Linked DNA regions of Elephas maximus indicus. The protein of the gene in region 2 interacts with the protein of the main gene of each other region in a biochemical or structural test. Links are inferred from orthologs where the notes say so. Each region holds a gene or a part of one and is shown on either strand. Other genes may lie near its edges. The genes, in order: KCTD12 and GABBR2.

Region 1 (8,192 bases), on a different chromosome or scaffold from region 2:
AGAATATTTACTCAGTGCTTGGTGGAGGGGGGAGTCCCTGGGTGGTGCAAATGGTTAACACGCCCAACCACTACCCAAAAGGCTGGTGATTCGAACCCACCCAGAGAAGCCTAGTAAGAAAAGCCTGGAGATCTACTTCTGGGGTGGGAGGGAGAAGAATCAGCACTGAATACCCTCTGGAGCACAGCTGTCCTCTGATACACAAGTCGGAATTGACTTGATGGCAATGGGTTAGGTTTTTATTTTGGTTTTGGTGGCGGCAAGGAAGGGGGAAGGGAGCTGGCTGGGAAAGAAGGCAGTAGTTGAGAGAGAAGATATAAATCAAATGAGAATTTGTTCCTGCAGATGTCTCCAGTACTTTAGGACAAAAGGACAGAGTAATTCCAGGAAACCACTGTCTCCTATTTAGGAAGGTACAAAGAGCTACCTGAAAAAGAACAATGGTTCTTCATGCGTCCATCACTGGAAACCGGGTTGAGGCCGGATACAGAGATAGAGGTTTCCCAAATTCTCAGACACCCCCTCCAATGAAGCATATTTGACATATTGGATACGCTAAAGAATTATAACCCCCTCCACCAGGAATACCCAGACCCTCAAGTCCTGGCATCTAAGTGCCCTAAATATTTCTTCTTGAATTTCTTGACACTAATGTATATACAAGAAACAGAACACAGAAAATAAATCAGTAAGTCAGAAGATTACTTCTTCATAATCCATAATTGAACTGCCGCTTTCATTCACTATTATGTCTTTCAGGCACAACTTGGGCTCTCATAAAAAAAATACCGATAGGCTTTCCTGCAGCAGACTAGCTCGTGTGGATGAATATGTTACCTCGACAGGTAGAGGATGTCAGGAGTTCGCTGCTAGTACAATGCTTGTGTATAAGCACGCCGTGTCTGTCACACTTGACTTGTCATGATCTCTTCAAGGGTACTTTGGGGATTCACAGGATACAAGCAGGTGAATACAATAAACTTCTACTGTGAAACACACTAAACTCATTCTTAACCCAGGCCCCCTTAACTTTCTTTGCCCTACCTGGTAGGCTCTTCCTCCAGAGCTTCTCACAGCTGTCTCTTTTTCATCACTCAGCTCAAACATCACTTTTATGGAGAGGCCTCTCCCAGCTACTCCATATCCAGTAGAATCCGCACGCTCAGTCCCTCTACACCTTTTAAGGATTTTATTTTCTTTGCAGCATTTATCATCACTTAAAAGCGACTGCTTATCTATACGTTTACTATCTATCTTCCTCACAAGACTAGAAACTCCAAGAGGTCAGAGATCCTTTTGTTAACATATTGCCTGGAATTCAGGAAAAACCTGTTGCTGTCAAGTCAATTCTGACCCACAGAGACTCTACAGAACAGAGCAGAACTGCCCCACAGGGTTTCCAAGGAGTGGCTAGTGGATTCGAATTGCTGACCCTTTGGCTAGCAACCATACTCTTAACCACTGCATGTGGGCCCTTAAGACATACTGGAGGAACCAAAAAAAAAAAAAGAAAGAAAAACCCAAAACCAAGCCCATTGACATCAAGTGGGGAAAATAATAGAACCTACCTCATATAAATATTAAAAGCCTTCATATATGTCAAGCACTTATATAGGTGAGATTCTGACTCATGGTGATCTCATATGTTACAGAGTAGAACTGCTCTGTAGGGTTTCCTTGTCTGTAATCTTTATGAAAGCAAATCACCAAGCCTTTCTTCCACAGTGCAGCTGGGTGGGTTTGAACCACCAACCTTTAGGTTAGTAGTTGAGCACAAACCATTTGGGACCTACTGGCAGAATAAAACCCAAAACCCGAACCCACTGCCATTGAGGTAATTCAGACTCATAGCAACCCTACAGGTTTCCAAGGCTGTAAATCTCTATGGAAGCAGCTACATCTTTCTTCCACAGAGCCTTTGGTGGTTTCGAACCTCCGACCTTTTGGTCAGCAGCTAATCGCTTTAACCACAGCACCACCAGGGCTCCCTATTAGTAGAACAGCAGATATTAATTGAACACCTATTATATGACAGCTCTCTTCTAGGCACTGGGGATACAGCAGGGAATTAAGCTGGCAAAAATCTCTGAACTCTTGGAATTTATATCCTAATGCACAGAAATAGACAGTAAATGAGCAAGTAAAATCTCCAGTATGGAAGCAGGAAAGGGGAGAAAGCTGCCTGGGTGGGGTTACACTATATTAAACAGGGTGACCCAAGCAAGGTCTCACAGTAGAGACCTGAAGAAGGGGAGAAGAGAGGCACCTGAACAAGGTGAGGGAGGTATCAGGGGATGAGTGTTTTAGGCAAAGGGAACAGTAAGTTCAAAGGCTCCTAGAGAACAGTTGTTGTTAGTTGACATTGAGTCAATTCTGATTCATGGTGACCCCATGTGTGCAGAGTAGAACTGCTCCATAAGGTTTTCAAGGCTGTGACCTTTCGGAACTAGATTGCTGGGCCTGTCTTCCAAGGCACATCTGAGTGGGTTCGAACTGCCAGGCTTTCAGCTAGTACTACAGCACTTAACCATTCGCATCACCCAGGGATTCCTCTGGAGGACAGTAAGGGGGCTAATGTAGCTAAAACCAGTGAAATCCTGGGGAAATGGTAGGGGATGGGTCGGAGAGGTGGTCATGGGGCAGCTCTGATCATGTACAGTCTTGTAGGCCACTGAAAAGACTCTGATTTTCAAACACTTGCATGAGATGGGAAGCCACTGGGGCGGGGGTTCCAGAAGAGTGACATCATCTGAGTTAGGCTGTAATGGCATCCCCCTTTTTTGTTCTGGTGAAACTAGACTGTAGCAGCAAAGGCAGAGCCAGATAGGAGACCAGTGTAATAATTCAGGCAAGAGATGATGTTGTCTTGGTCCACGGTGGAACCTACTGGGACTGTTCAGACCTATTAGTAGAACAGTAGGGAGTTAGAGAGATAGGCTAAGAGTCTGGAAGTGTTTTTAAGGCACAGCTGACAGGATTTGCTGAGACAATGAAAAAAAGCAATAATACAAAAATATGTGCAGAATTGATACAAAGAAGGCTCTTCTTGGATTTATAGAAAAGAGGCTGTATTTGTCAGGCCTGTGACACTGGTAGAAAAAAGAGAAGCACAGCCACCTAGAAATTCAGCATGGGAACTTGAAACTTTTGTGTCATCTTTTATCCCAAAGAACAAAACAAAAAAGTGTGGTGAAATATATTTGGTATCAAAACCCATACTTGCAATTAAACGAGCTGATTGGGGGCTTGATTTAATTTCAGTACACTCACTGACATGACTGCAATAATTGTACAGCAGACATAAACAATTCCAAGTGAAAATGACACTTATCCGTGAGGAGACTGTAAAACTCACTGGGTAGTTGCAAAATAGGGTAAACGTTATCAAGAACAAATATCTCAACAGTTTTATCCGGACTGACAGTCTACTGATCTGAAAACTGCTCAGACCTCTGCCCCTTTGCCTACTGGGCACATTGAAAGTGTCTTGGGGCTTATTCAACCTTGCATTCTTCACTACCTGGTGCCACGCCTGGCCAATATGCCAGGTGCACAACAAATTTTCATGGACCAGATGACTTCTTAACATCTTCCACTACCCTCTCCTTTGCTTCTGTCTGCAGTTCTCCGGAACACTGATTTTTACCAAAGTCAGCAGATAATCGCTCTTTAGTTATCTAGTGCTGCGGTAACACCAGTGCATGGCTTTGATGAATAGGAATTTATCTTCTCACAGTTCAGGAAGCTCAAAGTCCAATTTCAGGCCGCTGGCTCTCAAGGAAGGCTCTCACACTGTCTGCTCTGAGGGAAGGTCCTCGTCTCTTTTCAGTTTCTATTCCTAGGTTCCTTGGCAATCGCACGTGCTTCTTTGCTTGCTTAACTTGCATTTTATATCAGGAGAGATTGATTTAAGATACACACTACACTAATACTGCCTCATTAACATAACAAACATTCCCAAAGGGAAAAACCCCTGGTATTAAAAAAAAAACAGCCCCAAACCGCATTGCCCGTGGAGTTGATTCTGACTTATAAGGATCCTATAGGACAGAGCAGAACTGCCCCATAGGGTTTCCCAGGTGTGGCTGATGGATTTGAAGTGCCGACCAGGGTTTCAACCACAGGTATAGGGGATTGGATTTATTTACAGCACCCATTTCTCGGAGGGGGGGGGCATAGCTCAATCTACAACAACTGCTAATTACGACAGTTCAGAATGATGAGCTCTAGGTAATGCGGAAGACCCACTCGCCTGGGAAGCCATGGACGGTTTTTCTTTCGGGAGGGGGGGAGGGAAAGAGGAGTTCTGTGGGCTAAAGGGTGAAACTGAATATGGAGTAGGAGTTAGAGGATGAGATGGGATCAAAGCAGAGGGCCTGCAAATGTCAAAAGCCCTGTGAGGAGGGAACCTGGACCTAACTGGAAAAAAAAAATGACTGAAGAGCGCTGGAGGTCGGAGAAACTTGGACGTTCCTGCGAGAGGATAAACACGTCGAAAAAGATCTAGGGGCTTGATTGAAAAAGCTCTAAGGCATGATTCACTCAGGGCTGAAAAGGACCCCTCGGCCTCACTATCCTCAATCTCTTCAGACTAGCCTCCAAGGCTTTGTGAGGAAGAGGATGCATGAGCCGCCCTCAGGGGAACGCGTCCCTAAAGTTCATCCAAGTTCCCCCTGTTGCTATTTCAGTTCTTTTCCTACTCCCCTTTGAGGTTTCCCAACCAGTGAGTTTCTTCTGCACCCGGAAAATGAACTATCCACGAGCGTTCTGCGGCAAGATACCGAGGTTAGCTTTTGGTTTCTAGAGTTTTTCTTCCGAGTCTCCTCAGTAACGCGAACAAAACCTGGCTGCCTCCGTCCTGGCGCGGCCCCGTAGTCTCTCCGGGGCTTTTATTCTCGAGAACTTGCAGCGACACGACGACCCACTACGCTACCAACACGACTCCACTATTTTTAAGCGGCCAGTTCCGCAGGCGGCCTCGCCGGACGCGGCCACGCACTTCCACTCCCCTGGGCCAAGCCCGAAAGTTTACATCCTCTTTTCAGAGTCTACGCGGGCAGTGGGCGCGGGCTAGGGGGACAGGGGGCGCAATGACGGCCCCGCCGGCAAAAGATTTGCCTTCCAAAGCGCCCCATCCCAGGTTTTGTCCGCTTCGGATGAGAAAGTTGGATGGGAGCGGGAAGGGGCTGGAACGCGGAGCGGGGCGGCGGGGACCGGCCGGGTCGCCCCCGCGGTGCGCGAACCCGGGTGGAGCCAGCAGCCGGGCGCAGCGTCAGCGCTTAAGATGCAAATCAATTCCCGCCTCCCTCCTCCCCCTCCCCCGCCCGGGGAGCTAGGCTCCGCCGCTCCGCAGCCGCCTACGCCTCCTGCGCGCCGCGGCGCCCTAGCGGAGGCTCTACTTAAGCGGCGCGCCGGCCGCCACCCGCACTCGCCTGGAGCGTGTGGAGCGCACGGGGGCGCACAGCCGCGCGCTCGTATCGCTCGGCTCCACGCGGCTCTCGGCGGCGGCGGCGGCGGCGGCCGAGGCGCAGGGCTGAGCGAGTGTTCGGGCGCCGGGGCTCCGGGAACGGCGGCTCCAGCTCCTGCGCGTGGCCTCACTCCCTTTCTCTGCCCCAGCCCAGCCACCTCTTTGCCATGGCTCTGGCGGACAGCACGCGTGGATTACCCAACGGGGGCGGCGGCGGGGGCGGTAGCGGCTCTTCGTCCTCCTCGGCAGAGCCGGGGCTCTTCCCCGACATCGTGGAGCTGAACGTGGGGGGCCAGGTGTATGTGACCCGGCGCTGTACGGTGGTTTCGGTGCCCGACTCGCTTCTCTGGCGCATGTTCACGCAGCAGCAGCCGCAGGAGCTGGCCCGGGACAGCAAAGGCCGCTTCTTTCTGGACCGGGACGGCTTCCTCTTCCGCTACATCCTGGATTACCTGCGGGACTTGCAGCTCGTCCTGCCCGACTACTTCCCCGAGCGCAGCCGGCTGCAGCGCGAGGCCGAGTACTTCGAGCTGCCGGAGCTCGTGCGCCGCCTCGGGGCGCCCCAGCAACCCGGTCTGGGGCCGCCGCACCCGCGGCGCGGGATGCCTAAGGAGGGCTCGCTGGGCGACGAGCTGCTGCAGCTCGGCTACGCGGAGCCGGAGCAGCAGGAAGGCTCCTCAGCCGGGGCGCCGTCGCCCACGCTGGAGCTGGCTAGCCGCAGCCCGTCCGGGGGCGCAGCGGGCCCGCTGCTCACACCATCCCAGTCGCTGGACGGCAGCCGGCGCTCAGGCTACATCACCATCGGCTACCGCGGCTCGTATACCATCGGGCGGGACGCGCAGGCAGACGCCAAGTTCCGGCGGGTGGCACGCATCACTGTGTGCGGCAAGACCTCGCTGGCCAAGGAGGTGTTCGGGGACACCCTGAACGAGAGCCGGGACCCAGACCGGCCCCCGGAGCGCTACACCTCGCGCTATTATCTCAAATTTAACTTCCTGGAGCAGGCCTTTGATAAGCTGTCGGAGTCGGGCTTCCACATGGTGGCGTGCAGCTCCACGGGCACCTGCGCCTTCGCCAGCAGCACTGACCAGAGCGAAGACAAGATCTGGACCAGCTACACCGAGTACGTCTTCTGCAGGGAGTGAGCTCCCTAGCTCCCCCCCGCCCCGCGACTCCAGCTCTCGTCCCCCCCCCCCTTCCCTGTCTTAGAGATGGTTATAGCACCTCTTCCCTCCCGTCCCTCTGTCGTTCACCCCCAGGAGCTGGGGCCAGTCCCCTCTACCCTCAATTCTAGAACCTGCAGGCGAAAACCCTCTCGGCTTCTTCATTTTCTTTGGACCCCTCCAACCGAGGGAGCCCAGATATACCCCCTTAACCCATGCTTCCTCCATCCCGTACCCCAAACCACCCCTCCCCCAGACTGCCCCTTAATCTGGATGGAGTGGGGCAGCGTGGCCCCAAATCACCAAGTACCTAGGAATGACTGGATCGTTCAAAATCAGGACGTGTCCAGCGTGAAGAGATTCCCTGAAATCTTCTTGAACCTTATGACTCAAGAGATCGGAATTGATAACACTGGGGAAGTTAGTGTTCTAAAAGGTCATTGGAGCCTTTTTTTGATTCTCTTTAAAGGTAGATATTTAGAAGGTTGAGTGAAAAACTGGGATTCTGGAATTAAGACCATATGGAAGCAGTTCAGTGACTGTAAATGAGTGAAGTTTTGAAAAGTTACAGATAAAAGTAGGAGAAGAATCTAGTGCTGGCACGGTGAAGGATCGGATCTTTTCCAGTACAGAATGAAATGAAAGATCTTCGCTTGTGACTTAAACTTGCAGAAAGGGACCCTCCTGCCTGTGGAGGCGCCCTTTCTCGTTGGCTTATCGCCAGGACTTGGGTCGGCTCTGGTTGACATGACAGTTTTTTGGCAAGAGCGAGAAAGAGCTTTGCTGCAGAAGGGGGCAGGTCTGCCCAGGTCGCCATGCCCCACAGAAAGCCACCTGGCAGTGATTAAAACAGAGCTGGGTAGTCATGCACGTTGTGGGTATTAGGAAAGCCCATATTCTTGCAGTGAATGGCAGTAGGATCATTCTTAGCTCATAAGACTTGGGGGTGGGATTGGGAGGGAAGGAGGAGGGTAGGAAGGGTGGGAAGGGAAGAGCAGACATACTCATTTATTATTTGAAATTTGTAAGTTTGTACCATCCGTTTGGGTACATGTGTTTTATTTTAAAACATCAAATAGGACAAAAACATGCAAAGTGTTTTATAAAAATGAATAACAGTATTTACTCTTAGCTGGCAGTTATTGAGGTAACCGTTTTGAATCCTAAGCTTAGAAGTTACAGATACTTATAACCTAACCAAAGAGTTACCCAGTAGTGTTTTAGTATTTGAACTCTGTTTTCTCTGTGAATATAAATCCTGATTGTAAAATCGATTTACTTGAGCAACATACGTTTGATTTTGGTTACTCAGACTTAAGATCTCTTATTAAAAGTCCTTATTTTCCCTAAACTCAGTATGTTTGACGGCTGAGCAAATCTGAAAACCAGAAAATGCTACTTGACACTCCTCTTTCATGCAGTGGTTTGAAGTTAAGGTGGAATCCTTTTGAGTGCCAGAGCTGTAGAGAATTAAGCAACAAGGGCTGCCCATCTGTAGAGAGCTGTAAAGTGAAATATTTTTCAGTGAAGGCAAATTAAGTACTTAAAAGTGAGCTGAGCAA
Region 2 (8,053 bases):
ACTGGCAGCAAATGTCAGCAAAGCCAGCCAAAACCTGCTCACCACATCCATCCTGTGTTCAAGTCTATGGACAAGTGACACAGCCAGCAAGTCGTTAGGTGGTACACACCATCCACAAAGATACCTGATCTGAAAAACAAACAAAAAACAGGCCCCCAGCACTCCTTGGATTGCTGTGGATCTTGCTGCAAATATCCCAGGCTGCTCCTTCTCTCCTTCCGGCTCAGAGAGTGCGTCTCTCCCGTAAAGGCGAAGCCACTTGGGAAAAAATTAAATAATTATATCACCTGGACATTCTCCTAAATGTGACACCTCCTGACAGAAGACAACATACTTAATTGTAAAAGAATTCACTTTTTTTCTGATAACTTCACTGACTTCGTAAGATTTCAAAGGCTGGAAAAACAAATAAATAGTCCTCGTGTTTTGGCTTGACCATTTTATCACATCTTAAACTACAATGTCTTACTTGTGAATCCATGCCAGAAGAAAATGAAGGAAGGGAGGCAGGACACATTTATTTAGTGCTTACTGCATGCCAGACAGGGCACCGGCTGCTGAGCTTGGCAACACAACCCATTCTCCATTCTCCCCCGTTATCTCCCTTAAGCCTCCCGTTGCTACTCGGCAGAGTACATATAATAGTCCCATTTTTTCAGCTGCGGAAATATAGGCTTAGGGAGATTAAACACCTAGCCCAGTGTCGCCCACTGGGAAAGTAGCCAGTTCCTGACTAGAACCCAGGTACCACCTATGCCAAAGCCCAAGCTCTGTGACCCTTCCTGGCCTTCAGAAGACTAGAGGCGTTTTTCTGTTTGCACGGAGCTGAGATTATCCTCTGCACTCCTTCCTACTGTTTCTTACATATCCCGATGGAATGAAGCGCCTTCTGAGTGCCTCATCCTCTTGATTTGAGGCCCTCTCACTCAGAAAGTCATCCAGACACACTTGAAAAATAAAACGTAAAAGGTTCCACCCACACCCTGAAACCAACCATACATCTCCTTGCTAACACAAACAGGATGCATAATATGAAATCTCTTTCAGGGAAGCTTTCTAACACCCAATAAACTGATGATGAAAACAGTATGCAGTTGACAGTATGTGGTGATGATGCCAGCGGGGCTGCCCCGTCTACATGTTTTTGTCTCCCAAGAACTGGCTCTTCAGTGTCCCTTTCAGAAGAATACAAGTGGAAGCAACAGAGAAACAGTACCCAGAAGACATGCCTCCCTGTGTCTGCACTGCTCACTCCACTTACGTCTGCAGGACAAGCACACCAGAGAACATGAAACGTTGTGTAGAGATGAGGACAATATGCATGTCACTCAAATGATTCCACACCCGGGTATGCCCTGCACAGCACCCAGCCTGCATTCTCCCAGGGCAGAGGACACCTCTCTGCCTGCAGCAGCCTGCACGCCCGCCACCAAATGCCACCCATTCCTTCACCTTTTATTTACAGCGCAGAGCAGGCTGGTTCATCAGTGGAGGGGGGAGGAGGGGGAATAAGATGCAATTCAGATTTCTGCTCTTTCTCCGGAGACATAAAAAGAGGAGGGCTGCGCGATCAGCGCGGTAACACGACCCTCCTCCTCAAAAGGGTCTGCCCCTTAGCTTGAGCATTAATGCCCGGAGAGCCCTGGGAAGCTGGGGTCAAGCCCAGCGCCTTGGCCCGGCTTGGCGCGGTGGAAGAGGCGCCAACCAAACGTACTGCACAGGAAATCACTGCCCCCTTCAGGCCGCGTCTCAGACCCCGTACTGGAAGCATAGGGGCTCCCCCTGTCCGGAAAAACTCGCAAACCCGACCTCGCGCGGCCGGCGACCGCTCCTCACAGCCCCCTCAGCGCATCCCATTCCCCTGGCTAGCGGTAAAGGTCCGCGCTGGGGCTGCGGCGGAACCCAAGCCAAGGGCGTAAGGAGAGGGCTTGGGATGGGAAGTTCTCGGCTCTCCAGCTCGGCTTAGAAAAGGAGGCCGGGAGAGGAAGCCACTGCTGCGCTCCAAGTCCGTGCTCTAGCTAGTAGGACGCTGCACAAGTCTGCGCCCGGAGAAACTGCGCCTTCAGCCGCCGGACCAACAGCAGCGGCGCGGCGGGACACCTCGCGCCTCCGGGCGAGACCTGCTTGGGACACTCCCTGACCAACTAACCCAAGGGGGCGTCTCTTCATAAAACCGCTCGGCCTACAGGCAGCCGGGCACATCCAGGGGGTAGCACTGCAGAGCCGGCGGCCCCTCACCTGCCGGCGCTGTAAGGGCTCCGAGCTGCTGGCGCGCACCACGCTCCCAGCCCTGCTGCGCGCTCGGGCCCCTGGAGTGCGGGAGCTCTCCAGACCTCTTAGCGCAGCTCGGCTCTCACAATCGCCCGCGGGCAAGCTCGCGGCCCCTCCAGCCCGGGGTGGCCCAGTTTGCAGTCAGTGCACCCACCTATTCTTCCCACCCGCCACCCCAAAGCCCCACGAGCGAATGGAACTTGGGCAGGGGCAACCAATGCAGGCCTTTGGGGGTCCAGCCCCAGCCTACTCCACTCCTTCTTCTGCGGTAAAGGAGACTCTAGTCTTCTATTCAACAACCCCACACACATACACACACGATCCCTGAGGAGAATATTGGGCAAGCTTTGGTACCAGCTGTGCCAAGGGGTACCTGGCCCAGGAGGACCCCGGCGGGACGAGCACTGAGCACCAGCCCGTCGTGTCCTCAGCAGCCGCGGGTCAATCCGGGCTTTGGTCAAGGGCCGGGCGCCTGACTCTGTCCCCACCCCACACCCCATTCCACTGTCCTCCGGATCCCCGACGGCGCGGACGGCCGGACACTCACCTCCGTGTCGTAGAGACGCAGGTCGAGAAAGTAGGGGCGCAGGAGCGACTCATTGCGGATCTGCTCGATGGCCAGTTCCACGGCAGGGAGCACGCCGCGCCCGATGCTGCCCTTGGCCACCTCCTTGGTGAGCGGCATGAGGCCCATGATGGAGAGCGGCGGGCTGCTGGGCGGCGGCCGGGGGGCGCCCCGCGCCCAGCCCCAGGCCCCAGGTGCCAGAGGCAGCAGCAAGGGCAACAGCAGGAGCAGCAGGAGGCGTGCGGGCGGCGGTGGCGGCGACGGCGGCGGCCCGGGCTGCCCGGAGCTCCTCGGAGAAGCCATGCCGCGCCGCGGGCTGCGGACGCCAGCTCACTCGGCCCGCATGGCCTGCCCTGGCCCGCCGCCCCGCGCCAAGCTCTCCCCGCGGCGCCCGCGCAATGGCGCCGGCCCGGCCCGGGCTCTGGCTCGGGCTCCCGCTCGGCTCAGAACGGCCGCGGCAGCGGCGGCGGCGGCGGCGGCAGCAGCGCCGGTGACGGATCAATCACGCCGGGAAGGGGTGGGAGCGAGCGGAGTGCGGGAGGCGGGGAGCGAACGAGCAAACGCGGAAAGGGGGGCCGGCGTCTCCGCGCGCCTCTCTCCGGCGCGGCCGCCCCGCACCGGGCCGCCTCCGCCCGCCCCCGTGCGCGCTCTGCGCTGCTCTCCCGCCCGGAGCTGCTCGGCGGCCGCCCCTGGAGCCCGGCCGGGGGAGGGCGAGCGGCAGGAAACGCGGGAGGCGAAGGCGCGGCTGCTCAGCGGCGGCTCGGGCCGCCTCGGGGGACAGGGATGGGCCGTGCGCGCCAGGGGAGGGGGAGGCGCCGGCGCTGGCTCTGCGGCGACCGCGGGGAGGGCCGCCTTCCCCGCACACGCACACTAGCGCCCCGGCCCTCAGCTGCGCTGGCTGCCGCTGCCCACCGACCGCCAGGAACCTGAGTGCCCGGGGACGGAGAGCCGGGACGAGAACCGCGCTGTGGCACACGCAGTGGCTGCCACCGCTTCACCGAGCTCTTCCTGTGGCACCTGCAAGGTGGTTTGGGGCTGGTTCTCAGAGGTCTAGCCGGAAAGGTCTGGGCTGGAGAGTACGCCACGGAGGCGTCCTAGAAATACCTGCAACCTACGCTCTCCTTCCCTGCACGGGCGCCCGGACTGAGCTCATATGAACGGCCGCCGAAGACCGCCGCCAGCGTTCGAACGCCGCACAGCGCTAGGCTGGCGGGCCTTTGGGGCCTGGCTGGGACCCCCACTGGACAGAGCAGCCTCTCTCTGCCAACCCGGGCGAGGCGGAGGTCCGCACCTGTGTGCGCTACCGCCCCCTCCAGGCATATGACCTTCCCTGGTACCCACTCTCACAGAACCCCGCCCTAGAATTCTCCCTCGGGTGGAAGCATTGTCCTCAGGCTAGAGCGGGGTCCGAGAGCCCCCGGCCTTGGCACTCTTTCTGCCAGGTCACACTGAATGCCCTGGCTAACTGTAGTCAGAGCAATCCTGACCAGATGTGTGTCTTTGTGCCTTTCAGTACTTGGAGAATGGCAGTCGTGGTCATTAAAATATAAAATCCCAAGGGATGATTATTGAGGGGGACACACGAGGACATTAAATCAGAAAACATCCTGGAGCCTGAGGCAAGCATTGTGGGCCATATCCGTGACCTTGTAATGGTAGGAATTTAACCTTCACTGAGCACTTACTGTATGCCAACACTGGTTTTAGTGCTTTACTGGCCTCCTAATGTAGTCCTCACAGCCACCCTGTGAAGTAAGCACTGTGTTTATCACCCTTAGTTTACAGGCGAATAAAGTGAAGCTCAGAGAGGTGTCTTAACTTGCCAAAGTACACAGAGCTACTGAGGGAGGACTGGACCCAGAGCCAGCAGCTGCACCATACAGAGTGCAGTGTGAGCCCCAATGGGGTGCATGGAGTTTCCCCTGATGAGGGGCACTGCCTTGACTCTCCATTGCTCTGCACCTTCATTCCCTCTGATATGTGGTGAGGGAGTTGGACCAGATGGTGTCCACAGACTCACTCACCTCTGCTCTTTTGCAGTCCTGACGAAGCCAGTTTTGGAGAGAGAAGGTATGGATGGGGTGAGGATCATACTTACTCATAAGGGCAGTTCCTTCTCTTTGGGGAAATCTTTTGAGCATAGGCGCCCAAGAGGCAACCTACATACAGTAGAAAGAACTTCTCACTTGAGGCAGATAACATGAGCTCAAATCCAAGCTTGGCTACTTTGGGCCTCAACTTTCCCATCCATAAAATGGGAGGAACGGCAATTCTGATTCTGATTCTAGAACAGCCCTCACTTACTCAAGGACACAGCACCTCCAAACACACCTTTGGTGTATAATAAAAACAAAGATGGTATGAGTCCTACCAGTACTACTCAAGCATTTCCAAATAACATTCATTTATTCTTTTCTTTACTGAAGTGTTGTTGTTAGCTGCCAACTCATAGTGACAGAGTACAACTGCCGCATAGGGTTTTCTAGGCTGTAGTCTTTACATGAGCAGATCACCAGGTCTTTCCCCCTCAGAGCTGCTGGGTGAGTTCGAACAGCCAACCTTTTGGTTACCAGCTATGCGCTTAACCATTGCACCGCCATGGCTCACTGGAGTGTTAATGAGCACATTTAATCAGGTCTTTACCTTCATTGCTTTAGTAGATTACTGAAGGAGGAGGCTTCACTTTCAGGAAGACAGGAGGAGCTGCCCATGTGTCTCCCTACTTCCCCTGGTAACTTGCAGTGGGGTTTTGAGCACATATCTGTTTTAGCACCCCCATTTTGGGAAGTAGGAAGTAATTCTAAATTATTATTATGTAATATATATTTTTGTAATTATAAATGTTTATTAATCAGAGACAAGGGGAATTGCCATTCTTTATCTGTAAACCTATTTTGAGCTCCTTTGTGGAATTGTTACTGTTAAATGTTTTAGTGACTGTAATTACTGATTTTAAAAAATAATAACAACGGCTAGTCTTTTTTTTTTTTTTTTAGGGTCCACTGAAAGCCAGACATTGTGCCAGATGCTATACACACATTTACTCACCTAATTTCACTTAATCTTGACATCATTCCTATGCAGAAGGTAATATTATGCCCACTTTACAGATGAGAATATTGAGACTCAGGGAAGCTATGTGATTGCCCAAGGACACATAGGTCAAGTGGGGAAGCCAGGCTTGCAGCCTAGGTATGCATGCATCCCTTCTCAAGGACCTGAGCAGGCTATTTCCCCATCCCCCCAACACAGAATCTCTGCTGTAACCTTCCTGTCATGTGGCTCGCCCCTGGGGAGAACCCAAGGCAGACCTGGGGTGGGACAGGGGCAGCCCTGAATCGCAGGCTGAGTTATCAGAAAGTGTAAAAGCAGCAGAGGCTGAGCCCAACTCCTGGAGAGTACCTTGGACAGTGCCTGGGAAACCAGGCCAAATTCTCCCAGCTCCACTCTTTGGGTTTCTGCAGATACCACCTCGCAGGCTGCACTTAGCACTTCCTAGCCCCCAAGCTGGAGGGATTGCTTGAGCAGAACTCACCTAAGCATTTCTGCCAAAAAAACCATCCAAAGGACAGTGTAATCCCCAGACGCTCACCTGGTGTCTCACTTGCCATCACAGCTATCCCCTAGTCATATGCTCCTGCCACGTGCCATTCCTTAACTCCTCGGCTCAGGTTACTGAGTGAGCATTTTCACTTTTTTTTTTTCTTCTTCTTTTTTTCCCTTAATCATTTGTGTTTTCCTTATAGGCTGTGCCAATATGGAGTATCCACTGATGCCTACGTCTGGGAATGAATTGAAAGTTGGGATAACTTTGCCTAACATTTACAAAGAGGCCGAGGGCTCTGCCTGATAGCTTCAGCCCCTCTGTCCCATCATGGGTTGTCCCGGCCCCGAGCCATGTGGCCTGGACCAGCCCTGACCTGAAGCATGCCTCATCTCCATCCATCTGTCTCCAGGCCAACCTCTGATCTCACACCCCACTTCTGGTGCCCAGGCATCCCTCTGGTTCCAGGATCCTACCTTGCATTCCAGTGTTGGTAACTGAGTTCCTGGTGTGCTCCCTAGGTGTGAGTTCTTGCCTCTGTCATCGGCCTAGAATCCATGCTCCTCTAGAGCTTGAGTCCAGCTTCATGCCTTCTAATAATCATTCCTCCAACTGATGTTTTCAAGGGCCTCCTACATGCTGAGCACTGTTCTCAGAGTTGGGGCACAGGAGTGAACAAACCAGACCCACATCCTTGCCCTGGTAGAACTGACATTCCAGTGGGAGAAGAGAAACAATAAATAAAAAGAATAATAAGTAAAATTTTTAGTTTGTCAGTTTAGGAAAAGTGCTGGGTGAACAATAAACCAGGGAAGAATTTAGAGGCTGGCAGGGTGGGGCTGCGTTTTGCAATAGGGAGGTCAGGGAAGGACACACTGAGGTGGCTTTTGAACAAAACCCTAACGGAAGTCAGTACGCTAGACATGCAGTGTCCCCTGCAGAGGAACAGCAAGGGCAGAGACCGGAGTGTGCCTGGTGTGTTCAAGGAACCATCAGGAAGCTGGTGTGGCTGAAGCAGAGTGAGCAAGGGGAAGAACTGTGGCTGGTAGTTGCTGTCTAGTTGGCTCCAACTCATGGCGACCTCGTGTGTAACAGAAAGAAATGTTGCCTGGTCCTGCGCCATCTTCATGATTGTGTTATGTTTGAGTTGTTCAGGGGAAAAGTAGTAGGACCCCAGGTCAAAGGCGGACCCAATCATATAGGGCCTCAGCACTGGGAGGTCTTTGGATTGTATGCCACAAAATGGGGAATGATTGGAGGGTTACGAGCAGAGCCACGACACGATCTGATATTTTTTAACAGGATCACTGGGTGGAGAACCGTTGGTAGGAGGAAAGGGCAGGAGCAGGAGACCAGTTAGGAGGCTATTATAATCAGCCACGGATGGTGGGAAGAACCAAGGCGTATGCAGTGGAGATGGTGAGAATGGGCTAGATTAATAATCTGTCTTCTTATTAATGGAAATACAGTGTATTGGCAGATACCAAGTCCCAGGACTGTGGTAAACACTTGATTCCCAAGAGCTTACCTACCTTACAAGAGACATAGTGGAGACTTAAAAAGCAAATGCTCAGGGCTGTCCCCCTAGAACACAATAAAACATGAATGTCTACCCAGAACCGTGTGGTTTAAATTCTTGCCTTCTCTCCATAGCCCCATCTCTTTAGGCAATC

The links.
Region 1: the proteins of GABBR2 (region 2) and KCTD12 form a complex in vitro, tested with the Homo sapiens proteins (2 studies listed by BioGRID). The link is inferred for Elephas maximus indicus from reciprocal best matches to the Homo sapiens genes GABBR2 and KCTD12.

Annotation. Positions count from the first base shown.
Region 1 is NC_064832.1:70,016,945-70,025,136, reverse strand, and holds KCTD12 (BTB/POZ domain-containing protein KCTD12), read left to right. Parts: upstream 1-5,390; 5' UTR 5,391-5,634; coding exon 5,635-6,612; 3' UTR 6,613-7,583; downstream 7,584-8,192. UniProt on the Homo sapiens protein: Auxiliary subunit of GABA-B receptors that determine the pharmacology and kinetics of the receptor response. Increases agonist potency and markedly alter the G-protein signaling of the receptors by accelerating onset and promoting desensitization.
Region 2 is NC_064827.1:48,601,810-48,609,862, forward strand, and holds the start of GABBR2 (gamma-aminobutyric acid type B receptor subunit 2), read right to left. Parts: upstream 3,192-8,053; 5' UTR 3,140-3,191; coding exon 2,819-3,139; intron 1-2,818. UniProt on the Homo sapiens protein: Component of a heterodimeric G-protein coupled receptor for GABA, formed by GABBR1 and GABBR2. Within the heterodimeric GABA receptor, only GABBR1 seems to bind agonists, while GABBR2 mediates coupling to G proteins.